Linked DNA regions of Tribolium castaneum. The protein of the gene in region 2 binds, or shares a complex with, the protein of the main gene of each other region. Links are inferred from orthologs where the notes say so. Each region holds a gene or a part of one and is shown on either strand. Other genes may lie near its edges.

The links.
Region 1: the proteins of Polr1B (region 2) and Polr2K are in contact, whole or in part, in a cryo-EM structure (PDB 7OBA), measured with the Homo sapiens proteins. The link is inferred for Tribolium castaneum from reciprocal best matches to the Homo sapiens genes POLR1B and POLR2K. Residues at the interface, in NP_061887.2 of Homo sapiens: Val87, Ile92, Cys93, Lys94, Glu95, Val98, Ala101, Glu102, Gly105, Arg106, His159, His160, Gln704, Asp705, Val793, Phe794, Gln805, Asp808, Asp809, Asp810, Leu812, Pro813, Phe814, Ile815, Gly816, Ala817, Lys818, Leu831, Val848, Asn851; in NP_005025.1 of Homo sapiens: Met15, Tyr17, Gly20, Glu21, Ser30, Arg31, Asp32, Pro33, Ile34, Arg35, Cys39, Gly40, Tyr41, Arg42, Ile43, Met44, Tyr45, Lys46, Lys47, Arg48, Arg51, Val53, Val54, Phe55.
Region 3: Polr1B (region 2) and Tif-IA share a complex: the UniProt entries of both Homo sapiens proteins name them as parts of the pol I pre-initiation complex. The link is inferred for Tribolium castaneum from reciprocal best matches to the Homo sapiens genes POLR1B and RRN3.

The regions. Positions count from the first base shown.
Region 1 is NC_087394.1:4,870,971-4,873,092, reverse strand, and holds Polr2K (DNA-directed RNA polymerases I, II, and III subunit RPABC4), read left to right. Parts: upstream 1-1,047; 5' UTR 1,048-1,175; coding exon 1,176-1,239; intron 1,240-1,292; coding exon 1,293-1,385; intron 1,386-1,453; coding exon 1,454-1,476; 3' UTR 1,477-1,519; downstream 1,520-2,122. Other genes in the region: Pfk (ATP-dependent 6-phosphofructokinase), read left to right, coding at 74-298, 362-584, 638-767. UniProt on the Homo sapiens protein: DNA-dependent RNA polymerase catalyzes the transcription of DNA into RNA using the four ribonucleoside triphosphates as substrates.
Region 2 is NC_087399.1:7,572,291-7,576,050, reverse strand, and holds the start of Polr1B (DNA-directed RNA polymerase I subunit RPA2), read left to right. Parts: upstream 1-994; 5' UTR 995-1,112; coding exon 1,113-1,184; intron 1,185-1,260; coding exon 1,261-1,590; intron 1,591-1,642; coding exon 1,643-1,882; intron 1,883-1,933; coding exon 1,934-2,106; intron 2,107-3,760. UniProt on the Homo sapiens protein: Catalytic core component of RNA polymerase I (Pol I), a DNA-dependent RNA polymerase which synthesizes ribosomal RNA precursors using the four ribonucleoside triphosphates as substrates.
Region 3 is NC_087395.1:22,076,113-22,079,872, reverse strand, and holds the start of Tif-IA (RNA polymerase I-specific transcription initiation factor RRN3), read right to left. Parts: upstream 2,183-3,760; 5' UTR 2,024-2,182; intron 1,976-2,023; 5' UTR 1,970-1,975; coding exon 1,516-1,969; intron 1,464-1,515; coding exon 1,358-1,463; intron 1,246-1,357; coding exon 634-1,245; intron 586-633; coding exon 407-585; intron 363-406; coding exon 104-362; intron 55-103; coding exon 1-54. Other genes in the region: tyrosine decarboxylase, read right to left, coding at 3,499-3,760. UniProt on the Homo sapiens protein: Required for efficient transcription initiation by RNA polymerase I (Pol I). Required for the formation of the competent pre-initiation complex (PIC).

The DNA.
Region 1 (2,122 bases), on a different chromosome or scaffold from region 2:
ATGTTTAAGTTTGACAGTCAATGTTGCCAACACATTCATTATTCAGCATCGCCAACTTATTTTCACATGTTAGGTCTCGCTGGGGGTGCGGATGCTGCGTACATTTACGAGGAAAAATTCACAATTAAAGACTTGCAACAAGATGTCTACCACATGGCTACGAAAATGTCCGAAGGTGTACAACGTGGTTTAATTTTACGTAACGAAAAAGCGTCAGATAACTACAATACCGACTTTATCTACAGATTGTATTGTGAGGAAGGAAAAGGCTTGTTTAGTGCCAGGATGAACGTTTTAGGTATTTATATAGACGTTTGTTTGTTTAAAAATTTAATACTTTTTTTGTGTGTGTATTGTTAAGGTCATATGCAACAAGGGGGTTCCCCCACACCTTTTGACCGCAATGTTGGTACCAAAATGGCGTCCAAAGCGGTCGAATGGATGATCAACCAATTAAAAAGCAATATGAGTTCAGACGGCTCAGTCAGTTGTTCTAGTCAAGACAGCGTCGTTCTGTTAGGAATCGTTAAAAGACAATACAAGTTTACACCAGTCGCTGAGTTGAAAGAACAAACCAACTTTGAGTACGTTTATAAATTATTAAACTGTTTTTTATAATTACTTTAAATTGTTTTAGCTTGCGTATGCCTAAAGAGCAATGGTGGTTGAAACTGCGCCCTCTATTGCGTATTTTGGCAAAACATGATTCGACATATGAGGAAGAAGGGATGTATATGACGATTGAGGATCGCAGTTTTATTAATTAAAGGCAACCGTAGCCATTTATAGTGAATTTGTATTTTTTAGCTTGTTTTATTTATTTTATTGTGTAGTTTATTTTATTAAATGAGATATTGTAAACAAATTTTGGCCATATTGTGATGACAATATCGATATTTGAAGACGGGTCAAGTGTTACAAAGTACGATTCGAGCTGGGTATGTGGAATGGACGTATTATATTTCAATAAAATTTTAATAAACTATCAAAAATTCCTGCACCTTTTTGAATTTCGCGCTTGTATACGTTGGCGTTGCCAACCGTTGGAATAACAAAAAAAAGATGAAATTCCCTAAGTCGGCATGGTGGCGTTGTTTTTATACAAAATTTATTAGAGGAGAAAACTACGTTCCCGCTCGTTTGTATTAAAAATTGTGCTAATTTAAGTGATTAGGATGTCGGAACCTTCGACCAAAGACTCAGGGGCCACGAAAACTCCCATGGTTTACATTTGCGGAGGTACGTGAAAGTGAGGTTATGTTTTGATTTGAAAATTTTCGAAAATTATTTAGAATGCCACAATGAGAACGAAATAAGGCCGCGGGATCCAATCAGGTGCCGGGAATGTGGGTACCGTATTATGTACAAGAAGAGAACCAAACGATGTATCCTTTTATTATCAATTACTAACACTTGCAAATTTTCAGTTAATTTTTCCTTAACTTTGATCCAGTGGCCGTGTTTGACGCCCGGTGAAAAAATTGTAATTAATTAAGGTTGGAATAGAGTGTTTTTTACATTGGGGTTATTATTTGCAAACCTGTCTTTCCCCTTTCCTACGTCCGACAATTCAAGCACCTTGGGCACCACCTGGGGCAATGCATCGATTTCCCAGGGCCCAGTTGTAGCGAAAATTTCAAGGTCTCGCGCAAGGGCAGTGCAGGACCACTTTCTGCAACGCAACCTCCTCTTTAACCAAATTCAAGGTCGTCCATGTGCGATCAATAAAACTAAATACACGCAGGTTCTACGCCGGTGTCTGAGCGCGCCGGTCGCGACGTGTGGCTTCGCCGTTGAAAACGCCGAGAGTAAAAAATTCGCCGATTTTTGGACTGACAATTGTCGGAGGAGTGAAGGTGGTGCAGGACGTGGGGGCCAATGATGGCCGTCTAGGGCTGCGATAACTGCGTTGTGTTATTGCACCACGTGCTGAAAGGGCGCCGGCGAGGTTTACCGTTGCGTGCCGGTTTCCCGCCAGCGCACTGAGGTAATTTTGATTTTTGAAGTGTTTTTTTGATTTTCCCCAAAATGTTTTTTTGAGCCTAAGAGACCACAACCATGGTGTGATTTTATTAAATTTTATGGAAAAAACCTATCACGTAGGATAGGTTTTAAGGTTTTG
Region 2 (3,760 bases):
AGTTATAGTTATGTATATCAGATATGTGGCTTTTTATTTAAAATAATTTTAGCACACTTGTAATTCCCTTGTGTTTGAGTAATTTACTAATAACTATGATGCAGTCGAGATTACTTTTAAAAAATTTCAAAATTTATCAAGAACTTTGACATCAAACTGTTAAAGTACGTGTTAGGGCCGCTTTTACAAACGTCCGTAAACCTTATAACCGCGAATAAATTTCGAAAAATAGTTGTTTAAATTTAGCCTTAAGGGACTTAAAAATTGGACTATTGTCAAAGGTTACAAGCAAAATTTTGATATTTTTTTGCTTTTCTGAACAGTCTGCAGACAAGTAATCAAACCAACAAAACTGATGTATGTATACAGACTGATCCCGAAATACTGTGTCTGTTAGCAATCTGAATTTAAATTTTAAAGGATACCAATAGTGTATACTTTCAGGTATTAATTCAATAATTTAATCTGATGCCAACATACTCAGTTTCTCTGGATCATTGTGTATATTTAGACACTGTATTTACATATATTATTACATCTGAGTATGCCTATACATTCCAGCACGTTATTATTTTTTTAATAAATTTTTATTGGAAAGACTGTTTCATTTTATTAAGCGATGTTAAATGTTTTTGTGCTATTGCAACTGTTACAGATGCTTTTTTATTAAAATGTCTCGTAACAGTGCATGAGTACAGAAACATTTAACATTTATTATTCTTTTAATTTGGAAAATAAATAAAATGTCCTGTTTGAATTTCCCGCTATTATCGAATTAGTTCGTTCTCTCAGGGTTAGGTGGCGCTTTCGCGAAAAAACGAGGGGTAGACAGAGAGATTCGCTTCTTCCTCTCTCTTATTCTATGACTGACAATAAAATTGTCAATCGTGACAATACGATTTCAATTAACCATTTTATCCCCTTTACCTATTAAAGGCAACAAGGCAATTATGTTTTTTTAATAATGAAATTATTAAAATTGGTGGTTGTCCATATGCAATAATCGTGGTGGGTTGTATTGCTGGTTGCATACGCCACCGGGAAGTGACAATTGTCGGGTTCAATTTTCACGTTTTATTATTTATTTTTAAGTTTAAGTGAGTGTTTTAATAATGTTGGACGAGCCGAGCCTTTCCAATATCACGGATCCCAATTTCGGGCGCCCCCCCGAGTCACAGAACGTGGTAAGTGTCTTAAAACTAACACGTGTTTTTTTGAGGTTATGTTTTTTTTTTCAAATGAAAAAATTCAAATTTGTAGCTTTTGCAACAATTGGGGCACCCACACGTGTCTAGCTTCAATTACATGATAAATCAGGGGCTAGACCAGGCGATTTCTGATTTGAATCCGGTTGAGTTTATGGTAAATGGGGATAAAATCACACTTGAAATAACCGATGCTAGTCTCAGTTGCCCCTTGGTGCCGATGGGCACAGTTGGGGTCAAAAGCCCTAAAGTATTTCCATCGGAGTGTAGGCAAAGGGCCGCGACCTACAAAGGGCGGTTTATTGCCAGGGTTAATTGGGCGATTAATGGGGAGAGACAGACGGCGTTTGATAAGGATATGGGCCAGTTGCCCATCATGATTAAAGTATTTTTTGTTTTTTTGTGTGTGTTTTTTTAATTGGCGAGGTTAATTGTAGTCGAATAAGTGCCACTTGAGCGCCATGTCCCCCGCAGAGTTGGTCAAACACGGGGAGCATGAGCAGGAATGGGGGGGCTATTTTGTGGTCAAAGGCCACGAGAGACTAGTAAGGATGTTGCTAATGACACGTCGGAACTATCCAATTGCTATAAAACGCTCGGGCTGGAAAGCGCGGGGCTCGATTTTTTCAGACTGTGGTATTTCCATGAGGTGTGTCAGGGAGGACCAAACGGCCACTGTAATTTTTTAAAAAAATTACCAAAAACTTGGTATAATTTTACATTTTTAGACGAATGTTTTACATTTTGTTACGGATGGAACCGCCAAATTAATGTTCAGTTACAAGAAAGTTTTGTACTACACGCCGTTAGTCCTGATTTTGAAATGTTTGTGCGATTATTGCGACCAGTTTATTTACCAGAAGTTGATACAAGGGTACCAGCACGATTCCTACTACTTGGAGTAAGCATAAATTGTTACTAGAGACTGGATTTTTAGGAGTTACAAAAAAACTTAATTTAGAAAATTGGTATTGAAATTTGCTAATTAGAACATATTCTTTATTAATTCGTACAGCAGGAAAAATTAAACGTAATTTTTATGCAATATTGCAATAAGGTCCATTACAAAAACAAACAAAACGAAAACTTGAAGTTCTCTGTTGCACCATTTGCTTTTGTTTTTCTGTAAAAATTCAACCTAACAAATAAACTTATTGTATGGAAATGGATACTGGTACTAAATTGATAATATTTTTTCATTCAATTAACATTTTTATTTTTAGTAAATTTTTATATCTAGAATTTTGTATTCAGTTTGTCTTAGTTTGTCACTAACTTTTTTTCCACAACTTTTGGAGTAGGTAGTTTAAAAAAAAAGAACACTTTATTCACGCGTTCAATAGCTTCAGCAAAGGACGAGACTACTGCTTCTATTTTTTTTCTGTTATTTACTAAAATTTCAGAATGAGAATAAAGTTAGTTATTTTTCAAAGCGTCTTGAATAAAATAATGTTGTGCATTTGCTAGTGCGCATAAATCTTCAAAAAATAATTTAATATACAACTACAGTATTTCCACCAGAAAACTAAAACACCAAACTAAAAGGCTAAAACACAAAAAAAATAAAAAATGGGGAGATTGAAATTCTGAAAACTGAAAAATAGACTGCAGAACTGGAAGCACTAATTAATTAAAACATTACATTGTAAAAAAAAACAATTCACTAAGGGCCGGTTTATAGAAAGTTGCATCAAATTTTAATTCGTTGTTAAAAGTTAACAACGCGATTAGATCAATCAAATTGTCTCCGTTTGGTCACGTGATCAGTTAATCACGCATTAAGTGCGAATTAAATTAATGACGCTTCTATAAACCGGTCCTAAGAGACTGAAAAGCTGAAATACAAAAAAGAACTAAAACAAAAAACTGTGGGTGGTATTAATAGAAATAGCAAATCCTTAAATTTATGTTAATAACGAAATGCTTTTACTTATTTCTTTTACTTGTTTCTGTCTGTAATAAGGAATTATTTATCATTTGTGTGTGGTTGTGTGTCACTTAAAAAATTTGAAAAATTGTTTTCTTCAAGCATATTTCATAAGATACATACTAAAATATTCTGCAGTTTATTCACTATTATGCTATTGTAGAACGTCTGATGATTTTTCATGTAAAGGTGAATCTTTGCCTGAGAAAAAAAATTATTAAAATATCCTATTATTTAAATAAAAGGCAAGTGCCCCCTAATGGACTTCATAAATAAAAAAAAATCTGAAAGTAATTGTGAATATGCATAATTAACAACCCGCTAGATTGGTAAAATTAATTGATAAACATATACTGATTAAAACAATTAACAATAATTTAAACATCACAATAAAAAACAAAACGCAAAAATGTAACTGGTAATAAAAAAATTATACTGAGCACCTCCGAAAAAATATTTTTGGATTTTATGCTAGATGAACAGGAAAATATTTCTACATTATCAAAAATTTCTATTGGAATAGAGATTGGAGTAGTTTCTAATTCAATAGAAGGAAAACAAGAAGAGATTCCTGTAATACGGAATACTCTTAAAAAATTGCCACTGTCACCTGTTAGATTTTTATCTA
Region 3 (3,760 bases), on a different chromosome or scaffold from region 2:
TCAAAACTCACCTCCTTGTAGTCCCGATAAAACGGGTGCACTTTCGCACTCGACCTGCAATTAAAACAGTCAGGGGAATCCCCCAAAAAACGGTGCAACGAACCTTGATAAAACAAAAGGATCAAACGGGTAACACGCCTCTAGGACGTTACTTGAAACTGTCACAAAACCTTTCTCGTCTCTATAAACAGTCGGTAAAGTGTTCCTCGAATTGTGTTCAATGATTGAGTAACAATAGGCTAGTTGGTACTTTCGGGTAATAGCAGCGAAATTTTGCACGACTGCAGGTTGGCAAACCCGCAACGGGTTTAACCGACTGGTTACGATTTTCGCCAAGTTCAGACTCTCCAAAAATACGACATCTGTAATCAAAGTTGTGACAATGTTCGAGTAAAAAAATCATTACTTTTTTTTGTGTTGACTAAATCCTTGTGCCGGAACGAAATCACATAAAAGAGGGCTTGACACACTGTGTAGAAGACAGAGTGGAGCCTTAGGTCCGAATTGACGCACTCTAGGCCGTCCTGAGTGGCGATATACGAGTGGATCCATTCGGCCATTTGTTGCAAAGTCCCCTTCAACATGCTGCAATTTTCCATTAAACTGGGGCATAAAAAATTGAAAAAATCTTACGTAAGGGGGACGAAAGTGGCTCTCGCTATAAAACTGACAATATAATTAACCGCCGCTTGTCTAATCACCGACGCGACGTTCGGATTGCACACCTTCTTCCACAAGTAATTAAAAAACGCCTCCGTTAACGTCGTTTTAAAGGAACACAGCACAAACATAACAAACTGGACGTGATGAGTATTGTAAGTTGGCAGGATCGACTGATCAAAGACCGTCAAAATATCCTGGTATAAAGACTTGGTTTTGCCCCAATTCAAGTCATTAGTGCCCGGCTCATGGCACTCGGAGTAAATGTAATTGAACACTTTATCCAGGCAAACGTCCAAAGTGTGTGCCATTGAATGGACGCAGTCCAGATTTATCGTAGTGTTTGTTTTGCTCTCGTCCATCATGAAAATTTCCTCCTCTTCAAGTTTCGCGATTTCCTCGCGGGGCGCACTCACGTCCATGATGATCAGTTTTGAGAAAATTAAGTGGAGGATGTTGGGTCTGAGAGTGGGCTGGTAGCAGATGACCCAGAGGAGGTTCTGGATGTAGTATTCGTGGATGTGGGTCGATTTGTTCATGTAAGGGAAGTGGTCGATCAGGGCGTGGATTAGCAATTCGTTGCACCTGAAATGCCCATTAGCACAGATTTAATTTATAAACTATTTTATAGAGAAAATTGCTTATTACTCTAGATAATTACATCCGGAAAGTACCTGAGACTTGAAAAATTACTTACAAAGGGACTGTTCTTAGAAGTTCACAGAGGAGGGAGTGGACGTGTTGGCACTTCAGAATATCCGTTTTACTGGGGGTTCCATTTTCCCATTCAGGGTCTGTTAGAGCTAAATAATTCACTGGTAATTAACTGGTGATTAGTTACTTTACCAAACTTACGGGGAAAAAACAATGTGACTAATTTATTTATCACAAAATCTGCGTGATAGTTATGTGCAGCGACTAAGTTCGCAATAAATGACTGATACTCCTTAACTACATTTTCGTTTCTTTCGATCCAGTCAACTGAAAGGAGTGCTTCTACAAAAAGACGTAACTCCTGCTTCATTATTGAAATACACTCAGTCGCTTCCTTCAACAGTGAGGAAATATCGTCATCAAACAGTTCGGCATCGCGAATTAGGCACACTAAATTTTCATAATCCTTTGCATTTCCGTGTTTGATGTAGTCCTTCAATATGTGGCGCACTTTTTTAGAGTGTGGTAAAATAAATCGGACTTTAGTGGGTGTGTTCACTTTCAAGGAGCGGTTTAATGTCGATTTGAGACTTGGGGTTTTCTTCAGGATCGAGGAAGGGGTCGTTGACTTCGTGGGGGCCGAGAATAAAGACATAATGATCTGAAATTTGTTTGTTTTTTCTGAAAAAATGATAAATATGGCACTTACATAAATTAAAGCAACGGTTCAGTCACAGTCAATCAATAAAAACAGTATTTCACAATGTTATTTAAATCACATCTTTTACAGGTTAGGAGAAAAACGTGTGGTTTGACGTCTGCGTCTAGGGTTATTTGTTGTGGCTTTTCGAAGTTGCTTGGTTGGCAAGGCTACTATTTAAATTTTGAGCCGGGCTAATTTATTAAAATAAATTAAAAGTAAAATCAGTACAAGATGTTAATATCACCTATTCAAAAGCATTTCACGAACCTACTGAAATAAAAAACAGTGAAATTGGAACATTGTACCAGTAAATTCGTTGAAAATATTATAGATTTTAATGTAGAAACTTTTCTAAAAATAAATTATTGAAAACTAACCCTTTAATCCGGGTTGTTTTCTCTTTTCCCCTTAAAAATCCCTTTCAATAGCACACACTAACCGCGATCAGCACGCACTAGTCAACGAATTTGGAACTTTTAATCCGCAAAAATTCTTTCACAAAACAGTAAGTCATAAAGTGAGTAAAATTAAACGACACGGCAACAAGTACGACACCAACAAAAAATATAATCTGTGAGGTAACTTATTGTTACAAGATGGGAACAAGGAGGTTTGTCTAATGTATTGATTTTTGTCATTTAACGTTTTTTTTGATCTGAAAAACACAAGGAGGCACATTTTTAAGGTCCAACCCGACAACCACAGAAGTTCATCTCTTAAGCAAATAATTTCAGCCAAACATTTTAGTGAAATCTTCACAGGATTCACAATTAAAACAAATCCACTTTGTAAGAACAAACTTACTCTCGAAAACTAAAAGAATTCGATTATTTTTAACTCAGCATACTTAAGCAGGTATTAATTTTTTTTTGAATAAGATTCTTTACATGATATAGGGGCAGAGCCGGATCGAGGGCACTTGCCTCAGATGATCTTTGGGAAAGGGAAAAAAACAACAGAAATAATCACCTCTGATTTCTCTTTTCCAGCAGTTATGGAACAATGTAAAAAACCTTGATGGTTAGTACTTTCCTGTTTAAAAAAGTGCTGTTTAAATGTTAACAGCACGCGCTGTGTGTAACCAATATTGTCAAAAAGACTCTGAAGAACGAATTTATAAAGGAAAAATAATTGAATGGTAGTTTCAAATTAATATCATAATTTATTACGTCTACATTTTATAAATGAGTAAAAAAACTCTTTAACAACAACAAGGACGCTACTTAATACTAATGAGCGAGTATTATATGTCGTCATTTGTAATTAGAGTAGGAGAGTTTCCTCCGAATAGTTGGTAGACTCAAGTCTTAACCATTCTTTCAATATCAGTTTCAGTAGGTACTCTAATTGTAATGAATTCAAATGATCACTTGGTACACAACCGTCCTTACGTCTAATGATATGTGAATGAACAAATAACTTAAGATTATTACTTAAAATAATACTGTTGTGTCTACACATCTACACACCCAATCACACTCTTAACTAACCCCATTGTACTTAATCTCTTTGTCATTTATCCTAAACCCATTAACAAACTCTTGTTTGTCAATAAAAACCTCATCGGGCTCATCTGGCAGCATCGTCGTGTCCTCAACCAGCGTGTCCTCCTCATCCGAATCCGCCACAAGAATGGGCGTCGCCCCGTCGCACAAATTCGACCGACTCAAAGTCCTCTGGTACATCTCCTTCGAAATGCTCCTGGTGAACGAGAACCGCTTCGACTTCTGTCTCGTGAGCGGC